Drosophila melanogaster: one gene and its partners. The protein of the gene in region 4 interacts with the protein of the main gene of each other region in a pairwise test. Each region holds a gene or a part of one and is shown on either strand. Other genes may lie near its edges. The genes, in order: Xrcc2, Vdup1, Nup62 and Pif1A.

Region 1 (3,256 bases), on a different chromosome or scaffold from region 4:
ATAATCGTATTTAAACAGATAATTATTTATTGAAATTACATTTAAATTAATGATTGTATTTAATAATAATTTTTACTAATTTACCGGCTTTTAAGCACTACCAAAATCAATCGGCGGATAACATTAAAAAGCCCCCCCCCCCCCCCTCCTCTCCATTTTAATTGCCATTACCATACACCATCATATTGCTTCTTCTTAAAATGCTAAGAAAACGATAAAAAAGGAAAACGAAAACGAAAAAAAAAACTGCTAAACAAAACCACCTTACTTATGTATAGCTTTTAGAAATCATTAGTTTTAAGTATAATTCTGGTAGGGTTGGCCTTCTTCAAAAACAAAAAAAGAACATAGTGAAGGTTTCAACACAATTTTAAAGAACTGTTGTATTTTTTTTAATTAAGATAATATTACTGATATATAATATTAAATATATTACTGAATGGAATAAGTCATAAAAGCGAACTTTCCTTCTAGATCTATATGGACTATAATTTTCTTTGTTCGAGCGGGTAAAACTAGGAAGATATCACGGAAATTAAAGTATATTTGAGTTCGTAACTATCTAGATAATGTAGAAGTTATACCTTTTTTTTAACTTAATTAGTTGCACAGATTACTTTCTCACTCATAGGCCTTGAAATTGTCTAATAAAGGAGTAATAACAAATATAATTTCTAATCCCTAAAAGGAAGATATTATTAAAGTTAAATTGTTAAACTATATACAATTTTCTTAACCTATCAACTCTATATACAATTTAATCAACTCTATATACTCTATATACAATCGTTTACTTCTTTCAGTTCCTAGCATCATTTTGTCCTAAGATTAATAATAATAATTTAACTATGTTAACTGGGCTGAGTCAGCAATGCCTCAGTAATTTCCTTGCTAGTATTTGTATCCAAATGAATTCCATTGCTAAACGACAGCGGCAGTCCATTCAAGAGGATCTGGTTTTGAATCTTCTGCATCCTGACATGGTACTTTATGCCAGCCTCGGGCAAGTTTTCGCCAAAACGATTCTCCAGAAAGGCAGACTCCACCGTGTACATGCCGCAGACGATGGCATCCTTGCAGAGCTTCTCCAGGCGCGCCTGGAGCAATCGATAGTGGCGATACATGGACATTCTCTTGGCAATCTTAGGCTCATCTAGCCAGTAGAATTCGCTGAGTGTGTCCATGGCAACCAATTGTATGCCAGGATCATTGATGATCGCGTAGCGGGCGTCGATTAGCGACGTGGAAACATCATCGTTTGCAAAACAGTTGAGGAATCGCACGCGACTCATGCACTCGCCCGCAATCTCGGCCAGCTGCTCCTCCGTGGGGCATTTCGCAGCAATCACTTCGCCGACAGAGTACGCCTTCAGCTCCATCCTAATGCTCTTGGCCAGAGATTCACGGTTGATCTTGTGACTCAGATTGATCAGCAGGACGCTCCACTGGCGACCACCGAATTTGTAGGGCACCAGGCAGTGGGCCACCAACTGTTGGAGCACCAGGCTTTTGCCACTGTTCCCTGGGCCGGAGATCTCCACCAGCGTATCGGCTTCAAAGCCGCAGGAGCCAAAAACGGCAAAGTGGAGTTGATGTGAGCCCATTAGGTTAAATTTACAAATTTGCGCCCTGGCATAAACAAAGGAGTTATCGATTGTGGCCTTTATCGATGACAGCCACCTAAAGTTGAATTGCGCAGCGCTGAAACATATTTAACACTAAATGGAACTAGGGCATATCGAATAGTTAAACAACAGCAGCAAGCGTTTCGTTATAACTTTCAGTTAGCATTTAGACTTATTTGCGCACATACATAAAAAAAATCCATTTTCACCACCCTGTGTTATCGCCCAGCCGCCTATCGCTGCTGGTGCCTAATTTAGCCCTAACGCCTGGGCGATGATAGAAAAAACGGCATAACGCGTTCTTACCAGTTGAACATCGTTTTCTACCATTTTTTGTTTACGTTTGCACCGCGAATATTCGTGCACCTGCACTCGCAATTTGCTCAAAGCCAGCGGCGCTTTTTCGCCGGCAAGTTGCTCCGCACCGAGTTAAAGCATCACTCAGGCGGACGAGCTGGTGTACTCCAGTTAGCTTCTCGCCCCAGCACTTGTAATTGTCATTATCGGCGGGGCGCCTTTGATCATTCAGCGGCATCTCGAATCCGAACCAAAAGTGGTTCTTTTGTTCTCTTTCTGCTTTGTGGCCACCTTTCCGCGCTCCCCGCTTACCGCTTCCCGTCTCCCGCGCCGTGCTTTTTCTTTCTGGCCACCTAGACACGTCAACAGATTTGGAACTTTGTAACTGGAATCTGGAACTGGGCATCGGAATCGGAATTAGGGAGAGATGCGCGTGAGCACCATCCGCAGCGGTCGGATCTGCCGGCTGGCATTGTGCCTGCTGGTACTGCTGCCGCTGCTGTATCTGCTGGCCAACTGGAGCGATCACCACAAGCGCGTCCAGGAGGCGTATCACACGCGCTTCGGCGGACCCAAGTTCGCCCACCAGCGATTGGAGGGCAGGCCCAGGGAGGTGCCCAAGCTGGTCGATGGTAAGTGGCTACAGGATCGAGGATAGCAATATCAGCCCTTGACCAGGATAAAGAATAGGATTGTGTCACCCATAACGTGAGCCTTGCCATTAAGATTCCTCACTCACGTATTATACAATTTTATTATGGAGGACTATCATCAGAACTAAGGATACAGAGTAGTTACCATATCATTGTTGAAAAGACCGAGTTGTTTGCTTACTGCAAACCCAGCTAAAGAATTCAGTAATCTTTGCTTTATATCACTTAAAACCGGCTTTTGCTCGTTTTAACCAATTAATTACTTGCCATGTATGCTACATAGTATTCAAAGAAGTCTTTATTACCACGTTTAGCGTGAGTAAAGTATGGTTGGAGGTTAAAGGATAACCTTTTCCAACCCATATCGTACAGTCTATTCCCAGTCTAACTTACGAGCCCATTTCAAATATTTATCGCATTCTATTATACATTCTCCAAAACCGGCTTTGTAATGGCCCTAACCAACCAACTATCAAATTCGGATAGAGTGAGAAAATAACCTCATAAAAGTCATTTTTACTGCACAGCCACCAAAACTAGTGTGTCTTTAGTCTTTTGTATCAAATGCTAATTCTAGTCGTAGAATATTCCATATGACCATAAGATGGTTAGATGATGGCATATTATTGGTCTGTAATACCCCGCCTTTATGCATAAGTCTGAAATTATAACCCACACCTC
Region 2 (4,856 bases), on a different chromosome or scaffold from region 4:
CTCATACTTGTCGATGTAGAAGTCATTCAGCTTCACCTGCCGTTCCGGAGCCTCGCGGTCGGCCGGAAAGTGCGGTTTGTCAGTACCCATGTAAACCGTGCCTCCCGGAAGCAGTGACATGTCCGCAATATTTGGCTCCAGTTCGCCATAGTAATCCCGGTAGTGGCTGTGTGCACCCTGTGCTCGTTGCTGGCACACTTGTCCGGAAATGGACGGCATATCCGGGGCCTTCCGGTCGAGCTTTTGGCAGCCACAGTCGCTGGATACGTCATTGAATAAAACTATCCAAATAAAGAGGACTAATATAATTGTTGTCATCTTAACGTGCAGTGTGGCCCTTTTTAGTTTTGGAATCAATACTTAATTTCGCGAATTTAAATTCCGAACAAGCCAGCTTTTTAATAGCATACTTTAGGCTGTAACGTTTTAAACAATTTATTTCAATTTCAACAACCATACTTTTGGGATTATTATTATTATTATAACCATTTAGTAGTAGTTAGAAGGTTAATGAGTGCAGTTTTACCATTTTAATAATATATAACCTACAATATTTAGGTTTTATAAAAAGTTATGTATATGAGCTAATTATAATTTATCAAAGTCTGGTCTTTATGTTAACTTTCGTTTGTATTTGTTATAAATTCTTCAATCATGAACAAATTTTTGGGAACGGAAGACCTACAAATGCAAAGACCAGAAACATTAAAAAACGTTAAGTATAAGTTAAATAAGTTTAAATTGTTGTATGGCGCAAATCGGTCTTAACAAGTTGTGATACACAGCAATCCTAAAAGCTGCGGGCTATGCCTCGATAGGCTTCTCGTGCAGCCAGGGCCGGAATATGGGTAGTGTGGACGGATAGTGGGTGTGCGTGTCCGGCTTAAGCACCGATTCCGGCCAGGTGTTGGCATTGACCGCATCACCGGAGTGTCGAAAGGGGTACGTCGCAAGCACGATAGGAAGCTGTAGCTTAATCTCCTTCTCCATGGACTTGGGTTCGATCACGAAGAAGACGTCGTAGGATATTTTGATCAGGTGGCAGCCATGAAGATTGGTCGGCGGCAGGGGTGGAACGTAAAGCTCGTTGTGCCACTCGTCTTTGGCCCCCGGACGGATCTTGCCACGAACTAAAACAGCCAGCTCCCGTTTTTCCGTTTGCACCACCTTCCCCCGCGCCAAATACTCGATGGTCTAAATAAAATCCAAATAAGATCAAAATGGATGAATTGTAACTAGCCACTTGAAAGCGATACCGACCTCAGTGAGGGATGCCTTAGTCCGTTTAATGGACACATTACTGTAGTTGGATATAAATGCGGTGACCAGAATATTCTCGCCGGGCACATACCCACCGCGATCAAGGGACACTCTGCACTTTATCTGACCTCCACCAACACAGACGACGCCTAGCTTGTGCTCAACTTCGCAGGTGAACGGTTGCTGAGTCAGGCGAAAGGTTAGTTTTTTTAAACAGGGTTTTTAAAGCTACTTACTGCTAAGATGGGCTTTTCAAGGTTTAGGTCGATGGGATTCATCACAATGAAGACCTGGTGGTTCTTATGGATAATGCCATTGTTCTCGCGGAGCGCCGCCTTGCAGTAGAACTGAATCCAGCCGTACCGACCGAGAAATGTAGATGGAAGACCCAGTGGCAAGCCGAGTTTGAAGGGGAAGCTGTGAATTCCTGGCGAGAGTATAGCTGGACCTCCTTGGTCTACGTCCCCCAGAAGTCGCATCCGAAAGTCGATATAGTTCTCCTTATCGTATGTCCGCTCCTGTCGCCGCCCGTTGCGCACGACCCCTTCGCCTACCACATGGAAATGAAGTCCCAAAGCAGGCGTCTCATCCTGCAATTCGATTAGAACCCGTCCGGAGAGAAACTGGCCCGGGAAGTACAGGAGGGAAGTGTTGTCGAAGATGATAAGGAATTTAAGCAACTTGCGCGGCATCGTGCCTCTGTTTTGTTGCCGATTTCATTCGTACGCCTAAGGAAAAACCAACGAAATTCGTTAGAACACGGTTGCCAAATATTTGACCCGCTCCGCACGCGTCATTATGGTTAATGACAACTTATCCGTCATAGCTGGCTAGGTCTGAGACCATGTACTACGGACTACGGTCTCACATACATACGGCGCTTGTTTGCATATTTATGTGGGTAGCATCTAGGCGGGCAAAGGAAACAAAACCAGTTTCGTACGGCCAAGAGATGGCTGCGTGCACAACTATGCAGCACGAAAGCCCCGAACACTTAAGCATCAACTGCAAGGTCGGCGCATGAAGCATGTCGGGCGTGTCACGCCCGCGCCTACAAATTTGGGCAAAACTCCAGTATGTACATCTTTACCAAAAGCGTAAGCTGCAACTGCGACTGTCGGCAAGCCTGTTTGGTGCACTGGTGACAATGTTGATGATTCCTGATTGGGAAACAGAAACCGAAAAGAAAACTGACGTAATTTCCTAGTGGAAAGCGGATTCCCAACCGTACACTGCCATTGGAATGATTACATTCAAATTGTTCAACATTTTTGTTTTTATCCACAACAGATCAATTGTTTTCTCTTCATCCCTGTGGGCGCACTTGAAATAATGATCGCTTTTCAAATACCTGTACACACAAAGGTGTTTTTTGGCCAGATCGGAACACCAGTCCAAACCGAACCGATTTAACCCGTTCTGCCTTTGAGCGATATTCGTTTGGCAAGATCTCGTCCACGCTCTCGAGCGTTTGTTTGGCAACTGATCACCGTCGTCGTCATCGTCGTCGTCGTTATGCATCAGTTTGCGGACGAGAGCTCGACTGAAAAACTTGTTTTGAGCGCGTTTTTGCGAGGGATCGTTTGAGAGAGGCCCAGCCGGAGCCAGCTGATGTCGTAATGCCAATAAGTAGCCCGCTTTTGTTTTTACTATCTTTTGCATTCATGTAATACATGGCTGAATTTACCTTTCCAGCGGGCTTACAGGATACGCAAAGCGCGTATCTTCTTGAATAAATTCAAACGGAAAAAACTGGAACGGCACCACAGACAACAGAAGACCAAACGAGCATGAGAACCAAATTGTCACCTCAACGGTTAGCTAAGCTGTTCAAACTGAATCGATTATAGGAGCAATTTGCTAATAATATGGCAATGCTCGCAGAGTCGCCCCGCTATAGCTCAGCAGGTGTATCTTGTGTTACTCGGTTGCACCTAGAAAATAAATCTGTATTTCCAACACCAAGCCCATATTTTACAGGTATTTATCCATAGTCGACAAATCGTGTGCAGACTAAAATGGATAAAGTGGCACACATTTATGCATTATGCATGCATTTAATACCGGTTATTTGTTGTTTTAAGGTACCCAAATCGAAGAACCTCAACTGTAGCTCATGAAAATGAAAGGCCAAAAGCCAAGCAAACTATCACTGGCTGCGAAAACCGAATCGGTGAATGGCTCGGCAGCCTGTGGCAAGCTGTGGCAAGCTATGGCTATACCCTGAAAATTAGTCAAAAAATGAGTCCTGTGGCAGATACCTTGAAAACTTTATTAAAAGGAATCTGTAGGTTATCCTTATGATCGACAAAGTATAAGATAATATTAGAAAGAGTAGAGATGCAACGATGGTCAAACTATATATGGACTGAAGAAATCAATCGTTTTGAAGACTATGCTGGCTATAAGAGAAAACAAATCACTTTCGTATTTAACTTTTCCAGCTTTTCATATTTCTTCCAACGGCATTAGTGACATTTAGTAGCAATGGCTAGGCTATAGTTTTCCATTTCAATGTTTCTCGGCTTAATTGCTGGGAGTTGTTGTTTTATAATGACCCAAGTCTTTACCGCGAAGAGAGATTTCAACGAGACTCCAAAGATTTCCCGTTTGTGGCCTCGACGTATAGAGTATCTGAAAATTAGGTTGTTTCGAATAGAGACGTCTATACTAGTTTGGTTCAAAATGATAATCGCTTGAGCTCGAAGTTTCGTGGAGCCCACAACTAAGTATTCTTGAGTTAAAGTCAGTGTGGTTTCAAAGCTGCTCCGCGCACCACCGAACCGATCTCCGAATCTCAGCTCTGTTTATCATTTTTCTGAAAGTCCGGCGCTGAGGAACCTATAGTAAGCCTATCTCCATCTCTTATAATAATAGCGAAAGCCAGACGTGAAGGCAGAGAATATCTTGGTGTAACATCAATCACCAAGGGGGAGTGGCTGGTCCACTCCATAAACTTACCAACGATACCGTAAAGTCTCAAAGAGAAAAACAAGAGGTGTAGCAGAGCTACACCTGCAAAACTTTCTCATGCCCAACTGGCTGGGCGCATTGGCCACTGTTTTCGTTGCTCTTGCCTTGTTTCACCTCTCTGGCACGCTCTCCCTTAAATCGAGCTGCTTCTATGTCCGACTTGGGGCAGTGGCTCAGTTGTGGCGAAGATACCGAGCGCGCTGGTAAGGCACGGTTCGCATCGAAAACTTTAAACTGTCTTCGGTCGGGCCAGTGGAACGCGAGAAAGTTAAAATTGTAACAATAAAGACACTCATAATAGCGCTCCGTGAGTAACTTAGTGTTTACATGAAGAAGGCTGATTCTAGTTCATCACTGGTCCAATCGAAGCGCCATACACAAGTTACCACAGATTTTCATAACTAGCTAATGACCGAAATTGACACGTTCTGACGGCCGCAGCCGATGAGAGGACCTTATTCTAAAGAAGAACTGTTAACTAATTGTCAGCTCTGCTTACAAGCGGTTAGGTTGCATAAATTACACCAAATGGTTTGTTCGCCACGCTTCTTATACCATATCTGTATTAGCATATCTAAGGTTCTCTTTTGGCTAACCCCTTCCTTTGTGATGCCTCCATAGAG
Region 3 (3,937 bases), on a different chromosome or scaffold from region 4:
CTGCTCACGGCCAAAACAAATGAGCTGCTGCACAGCTTCAAGCAGGAGGGCAAAGTGAAGGGATTCACATGGTCTAGTGACTCCAAGAGGATCCTCGTCTGCGGTTCCACTTCCAATGTCAGCGTGCTGAACCTGCGCCAGAACCTCATCGAGCACATCTTCATGGACGACGGCTGTATACATGGAGAGTCCATTCAACTGTCTCCCAACCAACGCCTACTGGCCACCGGCAGTCAAGAGGGCGTGGTCAACATCTACGACTACGAGAGCATTTTCGCATCCAAGGCCCCACAACCCGAGAAGCGCTTCATGAACCTACGGACTGCCATCACGGATCTCCAGTTCAATCACTCATCTGAGCTACTGGCGATGTGCTCCAGTGAGGCGCCGAATGCTTTTAAGCTGGCCCATTTCCCCAGCGCCACTGTGTACTCCAATTTCCCGGCACAGAACGAGAAGGTTGGCTTTGTGACCTCCATGGCCTTTTCGCCGCACAGCAGCTTCCTGGCCTTTGCCACTAAGGGCAAACAGGTGCCGCTCTTTAGGCTTAAGTACTTCAAGGGTTATTAATTGAAGGCAGTATGATGTTTACAATAAATTCTTAAATAAAATCATTACTCTTTCTGTGGTTACAATGGAACCATCTTTATTTAAGTTAACAAATTAAGGGGACTTATCTTTAGAAAGGAGCTCGGAAAATATCGCGTTTCTGGGAGTCTTGAATCTTGCCAATGTCTTCCAGCTTCTTGCTGATGTTCGTCGACTGCGATTCGATCCACTGCAACGAATTCATATGGGCATTAAGGATTTTTCCGATCTGTATGATGGGATCAGTGGTGTCCTGGCCCTTGTTGGCCTCGTTCAAGTTGTCTATTATCTCCTTTAGATCCTCGGACATCTGCTTCAGTTGTGTGTCCAGATTCTCCACCATCAGGTAGGTTTGGCTGCGTTCCATGTCCACCCTCGGGAGATTAACGAATTCCTTCTCAAGCGGTCCCAGGCTGTCCTCAAGCTCTTTTTGCTGCGTGGCTATAAACTCCAGCTCCTGGTCCAGCACTTGCTGATCGGTTTTCACTTTTTTCACGGCATCGTTGAGCTCGACGATCTTCCCGTTGTTGCTGATGAGCAGTTTGTCCCATGCGTTGATCTGAGTGGCCTGTTCGGTGAATACCTTTTCCTGTTCCTCGAACTCGAGAGTCCACTTGTTGATATGCTCCTCAAGTTGGTGGTAGGACAATTGGGATGCCGTGGAAACGGCCGATGAGTCTGTGGTCTTGGTTTCGGTAGTGAGATTGGCAAAAGCACCACCAGTACTTAAAGTTGGGGCCGGTGCAGCTCCCTGCGTGGAGGCTATGGCCGACGGAGCTGCAGTCAGAGTTGTGGACGCAGCGGCCGTGGTCTTGGGAGCTCCCAATCCAGACCCGCCCAGCAATCCAGTTGTGGTAGCTGCGGTGTTGGGTGCACTGGTTGCTATAGTTGGCACCACAGATGCCGCTGGTTGAGCCGTAAAGCCTCCGAAGGCGGGAGGAGCAGCAGAGGTTCCAGTCGCGGTCGCAGAAGTGGTGGACGCTGGATTTGCGGCGGCTTGAGTGCCCAGCGTGAGGGGAGCTGAAGCAGTCCCGGATCCCAGGCCAAATCCAAAGGCTGGTGGAGCCTGCGCCTTGCTGTTGTCTGCATCTCCGCCACCGATACCAGCAGTAGGTGCCGGTGTTCCGAAAGAGAATGTGGTTTTTGTGGCGGGAGCCGTGGTTGCTGCTCCTGAAGCTGGTGCTGCGGCTGGTGTTCCTGTGCTGAGGCCGAAGGAAAACGACGATGTTGCGCCTCCGGTCGGGGCGGCGGTTGTTGTTGGCAACTGGAATACCATGCTTAAACTTAAGACGAATAATATAAATCTAAATCAAACGAAACACGCCAAAAGCAACCAGTGTGACCCCTCCTTGGAGTTCCGCAATGTTGTCGGTGTTGGAAATCAACTAAATTTGAGCTCAAGCTAGCTATTTTCAAGCCAAAACACTTAGCAGTTTGAAGATTGGGCGGCAAAATTAAATTTTAAATTTCTTTGAATTGGCAATACAAATGAAGTACTTTGCTCAGTCGACGATACATTTTTGTTACTAAAACATGCTGAAAACCAAAACATTTATATTATTTTAACGTTTGCAATCACTTTTTGCACTTTTAAAATATATTTATGTCTGTGTCCGTTTTTTTAACCAGCGATCAACTAACTTGCGAAATCGACAAACAACACTGGTCGAGAGCTATGTTTTAGCTCCAGTTTTAGTCGTACATGGAACAAATCATTCCGCGCAACTTAAATAAAAAAACCAACTCAGAAAGAAAACGTAGTCAATCGTACAAACAAAATCAATAACAAAACACCGGCTTTAATTAGTCATCTTTTGCTATCTGTAAGTGCAAAGGCGATAAGGTAACATTTGGGTCAAAAGAATTCAATTACAAGCCCAAAGTGCAGCGGCACTCAGTTCAGTAATTGCATTTTGCTAAATCAGCTAAACACATGTGTGCTTCCTATCAGAAGGTTCGTTCTGCGTACCTGTGTAGGTTCTCTTCAGAGCTGCCAGCCACAAAATTAGAAAAATTACCTAAGGTACAAACGTAATGCGGTACAACAATTAGAGCTTGTCTTTGACCTTCGGTTTTTTTTTTTTTTGTAATAAGATTCTTTTTAAGATTTTCATAAGATCTGAGATCTGATCCTCAAAAACAGAAATTTTAAATTATTCTTAAAAACCAGATCAAAATTTTCTAATAAAAGACCATAGTTCCTATGTTTTGTTAGTACATGTTTTCCCATCACTAGTACCGTGCTCTAGTCTACTATGCTTCCAACTATTTCCCCAACTTTGTTGACCAGTGTAGCTGGCAAGCAGCGCCAGAATTGAACAACAAAAGCATATCAGAATCAAAAGCCCCTGTTCTCGGTCTCTCCTCGATTTTCTCTATTTGCTCCCTGTGATCGCTGTGAACTTGGCGTGATAAGGGGCTCCGGCTCCTCCTGCAATCGAGAAAGCCCGCTGTTTGCGCCACCCGGCGAACACCAATCAGTCGATGGGAGTACTCCGCTGCAATAGCAATTAGCCACTAACCTTCTGTCAGCTCTTCAGGTGCCATTCCCCTACCTCCAGCTCCTCAGGTGCCCCTGCCAAACAGAGTTATCTGGAGTGCCGCCCGCTGGAGAATATAAATTCCCTGGGTGCCCAAAGGCCAGGATTCAGTCGGTGCCACTAGCTCGCCATGTACGGAACGTGGGGCGTCTTTCTGGGCGGGATTCTTCTGCTGCAGGTTCTGCAATTATCCATGGGCCTCGATAATGGCCTGGCACTAAAGTGAGTATTAAATTTTGATTGGATTCTAGGCCACTTAATTGAAATTCTGTCGATTTTAGGCCACCTATGGGCTGGATGTCCTGGGAGCGGTAAGAAATATTTACCAGCAACTAGATTAGATCATAAAGAATTATCATTACGTCTAACATTTAAAATAAATAAACTTTAATAGTTAGTAAAAATTAGGCCTTGGCATGAACTCTACACGCTACGCTGCAATAACGCTTTTGTTTATTTCATTGCTGATATAACTAACACTACTGATATAACTATAGTCTATTTAAAGATTCTCTGAATTTTTGATTACCCATGTCTTACTTACAGATTCCGTTGCATCACCGACTGTAAACTGTATCCGGATGAGTGCATCAGGTTAATACCCAAACCCAACTCAGATCCTCAAATGTTCCTTTACTTCTTGTTCATTTCACCTGTTTCAGTGAAAAACTTTTCCAAAGACATGCGGATCTCCTGGTTTCTGAAGGATATGCGGATGCTGGCTACGAGTACGTCATCATAGATGACTGCTGGCTGGAGAAGAATCGCGACAACGATACCCAGAAGCTGGTTCCGGACAGAAAGCGCTT
Region 4 (5,063 bases):
ATACAATAATGTGGCTTTAATAATGCTTTAAGCATATACAATAAAAGCCCTACTCTTATCTACTTATTACAAATTATGCCTTGAAAAATTACACAGTATACAGAATTCCGAGTCTTTGCCCGCATGGAGGTTGTTTCTTCAGAATCGCAAAGATTCCCCTTTGTCTGTCAGCATTTCAATGGCTTCTGTTTAGCCGTAGACTCTTCAACGCTTTTCTTCACTGGGTTGAACTAATCAACAAGTTTCCCCCATTATTGATTTCAGCGGAAAAGCTTTTTCCTTCATTTCGCCACATCGGGTCGGGCCACACATATGAATGAAAAACGAAACATATAGGCACCCTGGGACTGGGAAATAGTTTACAACGCCAATTGCGTTGGGCTTACCAAATAAACTGGTCCGGAATGACTTTTCTTAATGACGTCATGTGGCGCGCCTTTTGGAATAGAACAGAATATGTACGTACATTCATATGTACATGTGTTTTTTTTGTTTTGTGAGGTTCCCCACTGGGGCGCTTTACACGCAATAAAACCGCTTTTCATTACTTTTTTTGTTCTACAGAAACAGAATTCTTTGCACTGCTCCCACATCCGCCCCAAAGATTATAACAAAGCATCTATATATATACTGTATGAGGTGCACACACGAGTAGGCCCACAGTTCATATGTTCATAGAATGCTCTCCGAGATTTCTGGCCGATCATCTTTATCAAGGCCACGATCTATATACACATGTAGAGCGACAGATTTGTGTACTTAGCAACCTTCTGGCGCCTAATTGGAATTTGATTTGTTTTTCCAGCTCGATACACTAGGTGTTAATAGGGAGGGATCTTAAGTGAGTGGTGCCCAAGTTTATTACTTTCTGGTTATCAACATAAATTATAAGTAATTATTAGTAAACTTTATGATATTGACTCTTGGACGTATTTCAAAACCGAACTGTTAGTGGAAAAACTACCCTAAAAGAGGTGTTCGTTCCAAATGTATGTAATATTTATTTTGTGGCTTTTCTATAAACTGAAGGACTGGGGCTAATGATGGCTCTCATGTTGCATTTCATTTAATTAAATTTAAAACCGCCCCCAGTCCACTCGATAATAAAGTGTTTTTGGGGTCGACATACACGCCATGGTGACATCACAGCCTCGGTGTGACCGGCTTGGTTGGGATTGGTTTTATACGAGCAAAGCCACCCACTCGATTGCCATCCACATCCACAGCCATCCACATGGGCAGATGAAAGTCTCTTTTTTGCTCTTTAAGTATGTATATTTTCAGTCATATATCAATTTGAAAATATTGCCAAACGATGAGTCGGTCAGCCGTCGAGTGTACAGTCTGCGGCTCTTTCGGCTGATTCACCGAAGATCACGTATACGCACCATTAGCTCTGAAATCCTTGGGCGTCGTAGACCAACAGTTGGTGTGCCTCAAACTTCTGTATATGTTTATTCACTCACTCACTCACTCACTAAGTCGACCGACGATGTTGTAATGTAAACAGTTTATTTACTGCCTGCTTGCCACTGTTTCTTGCAGTGTAATGACGTCAATACGTTAATTTTCAATCAACTTTTTTCGCGCACAGACCAAGTAGAATATCGTCGGTATGTGGAGCACTTCTTCGACAATTGTTAAGCAAAGTATGATATATTTTTGTTCAAATATATTCACACAGTTCGTACAGGAAGTTCGAAATTATATCAATTAAGTTACACAAGTTCGTCGGAATAGAAGTGAGTTATGTTCGGTTCGTTTGGGGAGTATCCTAATTAGTTGCAATCAATTTGAATTGTAAATTAAAAGAAGTGTTCTATACTAGGTAAATTTCGTTGCTCGGCGATAGCAGAGATCTTTCGTTTCGGCCGGACACCGATTGACTAACTCGGCCTCTCGAGCTTTCGCAAGCTCTTTCACATTTGCCTCCATTTCCATTTAATTAAAAGGAGCTTTGCCATTTATTCATGCACTTCTTGGGGTTATGGGGTGGCAAAGCTCGGGTCTGTGTGCGTGCCCCGAAGAATGGCCGACGTGAAGCCGGAAGAGCCCATCTATTGAAAGCCGAAGATGTTTTCCTCCCGGTTCCCGACTTCATAACAAAAAAAAACCAGTCGCGTGTTTATTAATAACCAAAATATGCACACAACCCGCCACGAAATTGGTCAAAATAACAAACAGTGAAATAAAAGATATCGGAACTTCAGGTTGATTGGATATTAATTCGGTATAAGTTTGATAAAGTAATGATAAAATTCAGTTAAATTGTTATATCTGTGTAAACATTGTTATAAGTACTTCCGCATGATTAAGGCGCGTTGCTCAAACATATATCAGCACAAAGCATTTGTGCTAGTTTAAGTTTAAGAGCAATCTGAAGACGTGACATTAAAGCTGTTGAAACGTGCATCTATTATTATATGTTTAGACCAGAAGTAAATAAATTTGGTAATAAACATACTTGCAAAACATTTAAGTTGCTCAACTTTTTTATAGTCTTTTTATGGCAATTAAAATTTCATACTTTTAATTTCGATTTAAATGCCAAACGTATTGCGTATGAATATCTTTATGTCTATAATCCCCAACAGCTGAAGAATCTTCACAAATCACATACAAATTTGACAATCGCCTTAACGACGCGATGAATGATGGACACAATTAGAACACATTCCGATTCCAGTCAGTCAACACAGGGGAAATCTAAATAAAAGCACAAAAGGGGAACAAACTTTGCACTTTGATTTGAGTGCCTTATCGTGTGGGAGCCCCACTTCACTTTTCTTTTTCTTACTCACTATTTGCATTTTTCATAGTCGGTTCAGCATCCTGATTTGTTTCATAATCACTCGGCAATTGTCTAGTATCCGGTTAGTATCCATTGGCATCCCTTGTGGTTCGATGTCGTCGTTAAGAGGAGTCTTGGGCAACTAAAATTCCAATTCCACATGACCGAATTAGATTTAGAATGCTTTCTTTCATTTAAACCTATTTGCGGTTGAATGTTCTGGCGTTTTGGCCTTTCAAATGACTCTTCTATTTTTCATTTAATTGCTGCTCGGTGCACAACTCACTCAAGTTGAGCGGTAGGAACAAACTGAAGATGCGGCGCACTTTCTAAAATGGAATAAGCGACATGCGTGCGTGCATCGCCAAATTTATATAAATAGAAGGAATCACAAATCTATATTTGAAGTTGGGAGCAATTTCAAAAAACCGCTCGCCGGTCAAGAGTGACGTCATGGAGCCATCGATAACTTTTTCGATAACAACTACCAGCTGCATATCATATTAGTTTAAAATGTTCATCAAAAAGTGTGGAAACTAGCTTTGTACCATAAAGTTAAAAAATCGCAAGATAGAAATAAATAGATAGTTTTTTATGAGTTAGGATTTCAAATTTCATTGTAAAGTGCGACTAAGTCCCCAAACGTTCACACTGGCTGCAAGCATCGATTAAATACAAAATAACAACGATTAATCGATTGGCCCATTACTCATCGCGGAAAACGTGAACGAAAAGCAAGTTGCCGCCTGTCTGCTAGGAACTTTATTGTTTTAAACTGTAATACGTGCTAAAGGCCAACCCCATCACATAAATATGGTAAGTCCGGCTGGAAATAATCCGAGGCTAACCAAGTGAATCCCAATCATGGACTCGTCCGCGAGCGGCATGAGATTGTAAACATAACCTGCAAAGAAGCTTCTCGCAAGCCGACGACATCTGCTGACTAATTGGAGACTTTTACTATATATTCGCCTTATATCCGTATGATCCGCAGCAACCGCAAATCGTGCTCCTCAAAGAAGGCACTGACTCGTCGCAGGGCAAGCCGCAACTGGTGTCCAACATCAATGCCTGCCAGTCGATCGTGGACGCAGTGCGGACCACTCTGGGTCCCCGCGGCATGGACAAGCTGATTGTGGATGCCCACGGCAAGGCGACGATTTCCAACGATGGAGCCACCATCATGAAGCTGCTGGAGATCATCCACCCGGCGGCCAAGACCCTGGTGGACATTGCCAAGTCACAAGACGCCGAGGTAAGTGATTGGCACCCCTGAGACGCACGTGACACTGCTAAAGCTTTGATTCGACTTCTCCTTCAGGTGGGTGACGGCACCACGTCCGTGGTTCTGCTGGCCGGCGAGTTCCTTAAGCAGGTGAAACCCTTCGTGGAGGAGGGAGTGCACCCACGAGTCATCATTAAGGCCATCCGCAAGGCCCTGCAGCTCTGCATGGAAAAGATCAACGAAATGGCCGTCCAAATTGTCGAACAGTCCAAGGACCAGCAGCGTGCTCTCCTTGAGAAGTGCGCAGCCACTGCCATGTCCTCCAAGTTGATTCACCAGCAGAAGGACTTCTTCTCCCGCATTGTAGTCGATGCTGTGCTCTCCCTGGATGAGCTGCTGCCCCTCAACATGATTGGAATTAAGAAGGTGACCGGTGGCTCGCTGGAGGAGTCACAGCTAGTGTCGGGTGTGGCCTTCAAGAAGACCTTTTCCTATGCCGGCTTTGAAATGGCCCCCAAATCCTATGACAACTGCAAAATTGCCCTGCTCAACATCGAATTGGAGCTTAAGGCTGAGCGCGATAACGCCGAGATCCGCGTAGACAACGTCAAGGAGTACCAAAAGGTGGTCGACGCCGAGTGGCAGATCCTCTACAACAAGCTGGCTAAGATCCACGAGTCCGGCGCCAATGTTGTCCTCTCCAAGCTGCCCATCGGTGATGTGGCCACACAGTATTTCGCCGACCGCGACATATTCTGCGCCGGCCGCGTTCCCGAAGAAGATCTTAAGCGCACCATGAAGGCTTGCGGTGGAGCCGTAATGACGACGGCCAACGACATTAAGCCCAATGTACTCGGCCTGTGCGAACATTTCGAGGAGCGCCAAGTGGGCGGCGAACGTTTCAACCTCTTCCAAGGTAAGAATCTTATTCGTATACTTAATTGAAGGACTCGTTTTAACAACCACTTGTTATTTTCCATTTTAAATAGGCTGCCCCAATGCCAAGACGAGCACCCTTATTCTGCGTGGCGGTGCCGAACAGTTTCT

Evidence for each region.
Region 1: the proteins of Pif1A (region 4) and Xrcc2 interact in a two-hybrid assay, tested with the Drosophila melanogaster proteins (one large-scale study listed by BioGRID).
Region 2: the proteins of Pif1A (region 4) and Vdup1 interact in a two-hybrid assay, tested with the Drosophila melanogaster proteins (one large-scale study listed by BioGRID).
Region 3: the proteins of Pif1A (region 4) and Nup62 interact in a two-hybrid assay, tested with the Drosophila melanogaster proteins (one large-scale study listed by BioGRID).

What each region holds. Positions count from the first base shown.
Region 1 is NC_004354.4:18,498,530-18,501,785, reverse strand, and holds Xrcc2 (X-ray repair cross complementing 2), read right to left. Parts: upstream 1,660-3,256; 5' UTR 1,605-1,659; coding exon 852-1,604; 3' UTR 528-851; downstream 1-527. Other genes in the region: Pgant7 (polypeptide N-Acetylgalactosaminyltransferase 7), read left to right, coding at 2,350-2,554.
Region 2 is NT_037436.4:175,886-180,741, forward strand, and holds Vdup1 (vitamin D[[3]] up-regulated protein 1), read right to left. Parts: upstream 3,079-4,856; 5' UTR 2,948-3,078; intron 2,751-2,947; exon of another isoform or gene 2,612-2,750; intron 2,421-2,611; exon of another isoform or gene 1,989-2,420; 5' UTR 1,953-1,988; coding exon 1,497-1,952; intron 1,444-1,496; coding exon 1,261-1,443; intron 1,195-1,260; coding exon 805-1,194; 3' UTR 617-804; downstream 1-616. Other genes in the region: CG7049 (uncharacterized protein), read right to left, coding at 1-318.
Region 3 is NT_033778.4:16,342,508-16,346,444, reverse strand, and holds Nup62 (nucleoporin 62kD), read right to left. Parts: upstream 2,069-3,937; 5' UTR 1,865-2,068; coding exon 680-1,864; 3' UTR 617-679; downstream 1-616. Other genes in the region: wcd (wicked), read left to right, coding at 1-570; CG7997 (uncharacterized protein), read left to right, coding at 3,259-3,350, 3,410-3,439, 3,675-3,722, 3,791-3,937. UniProt on the Drosophila melanogaster protein: Essential component of the nuclear pore complex. The N-terminal is probably involved in nucleocytoplasmic transport.
Region 4 is NT_033777.3:8,798,074-8,803,136, forward strand, and holds the start of Pif1A (PFTAIRE-interacting factor 1A), read right to left. Parts: upstream 3,104-5,063; 5' UTR 2,802-3,103; intron 2,707-2,801; 5' UTR 2,621-2,706; intron 1,872-2,620; exon of another isoform or gene 1,389-1,871; intron 1-1,388. Other genes in the region: CCT7 (chaperonin containing TCP1 subunit 7), read left to right, coding at 3,605-3,607, 3,786-4,046, 4,113-4,932, 5,006-5,063.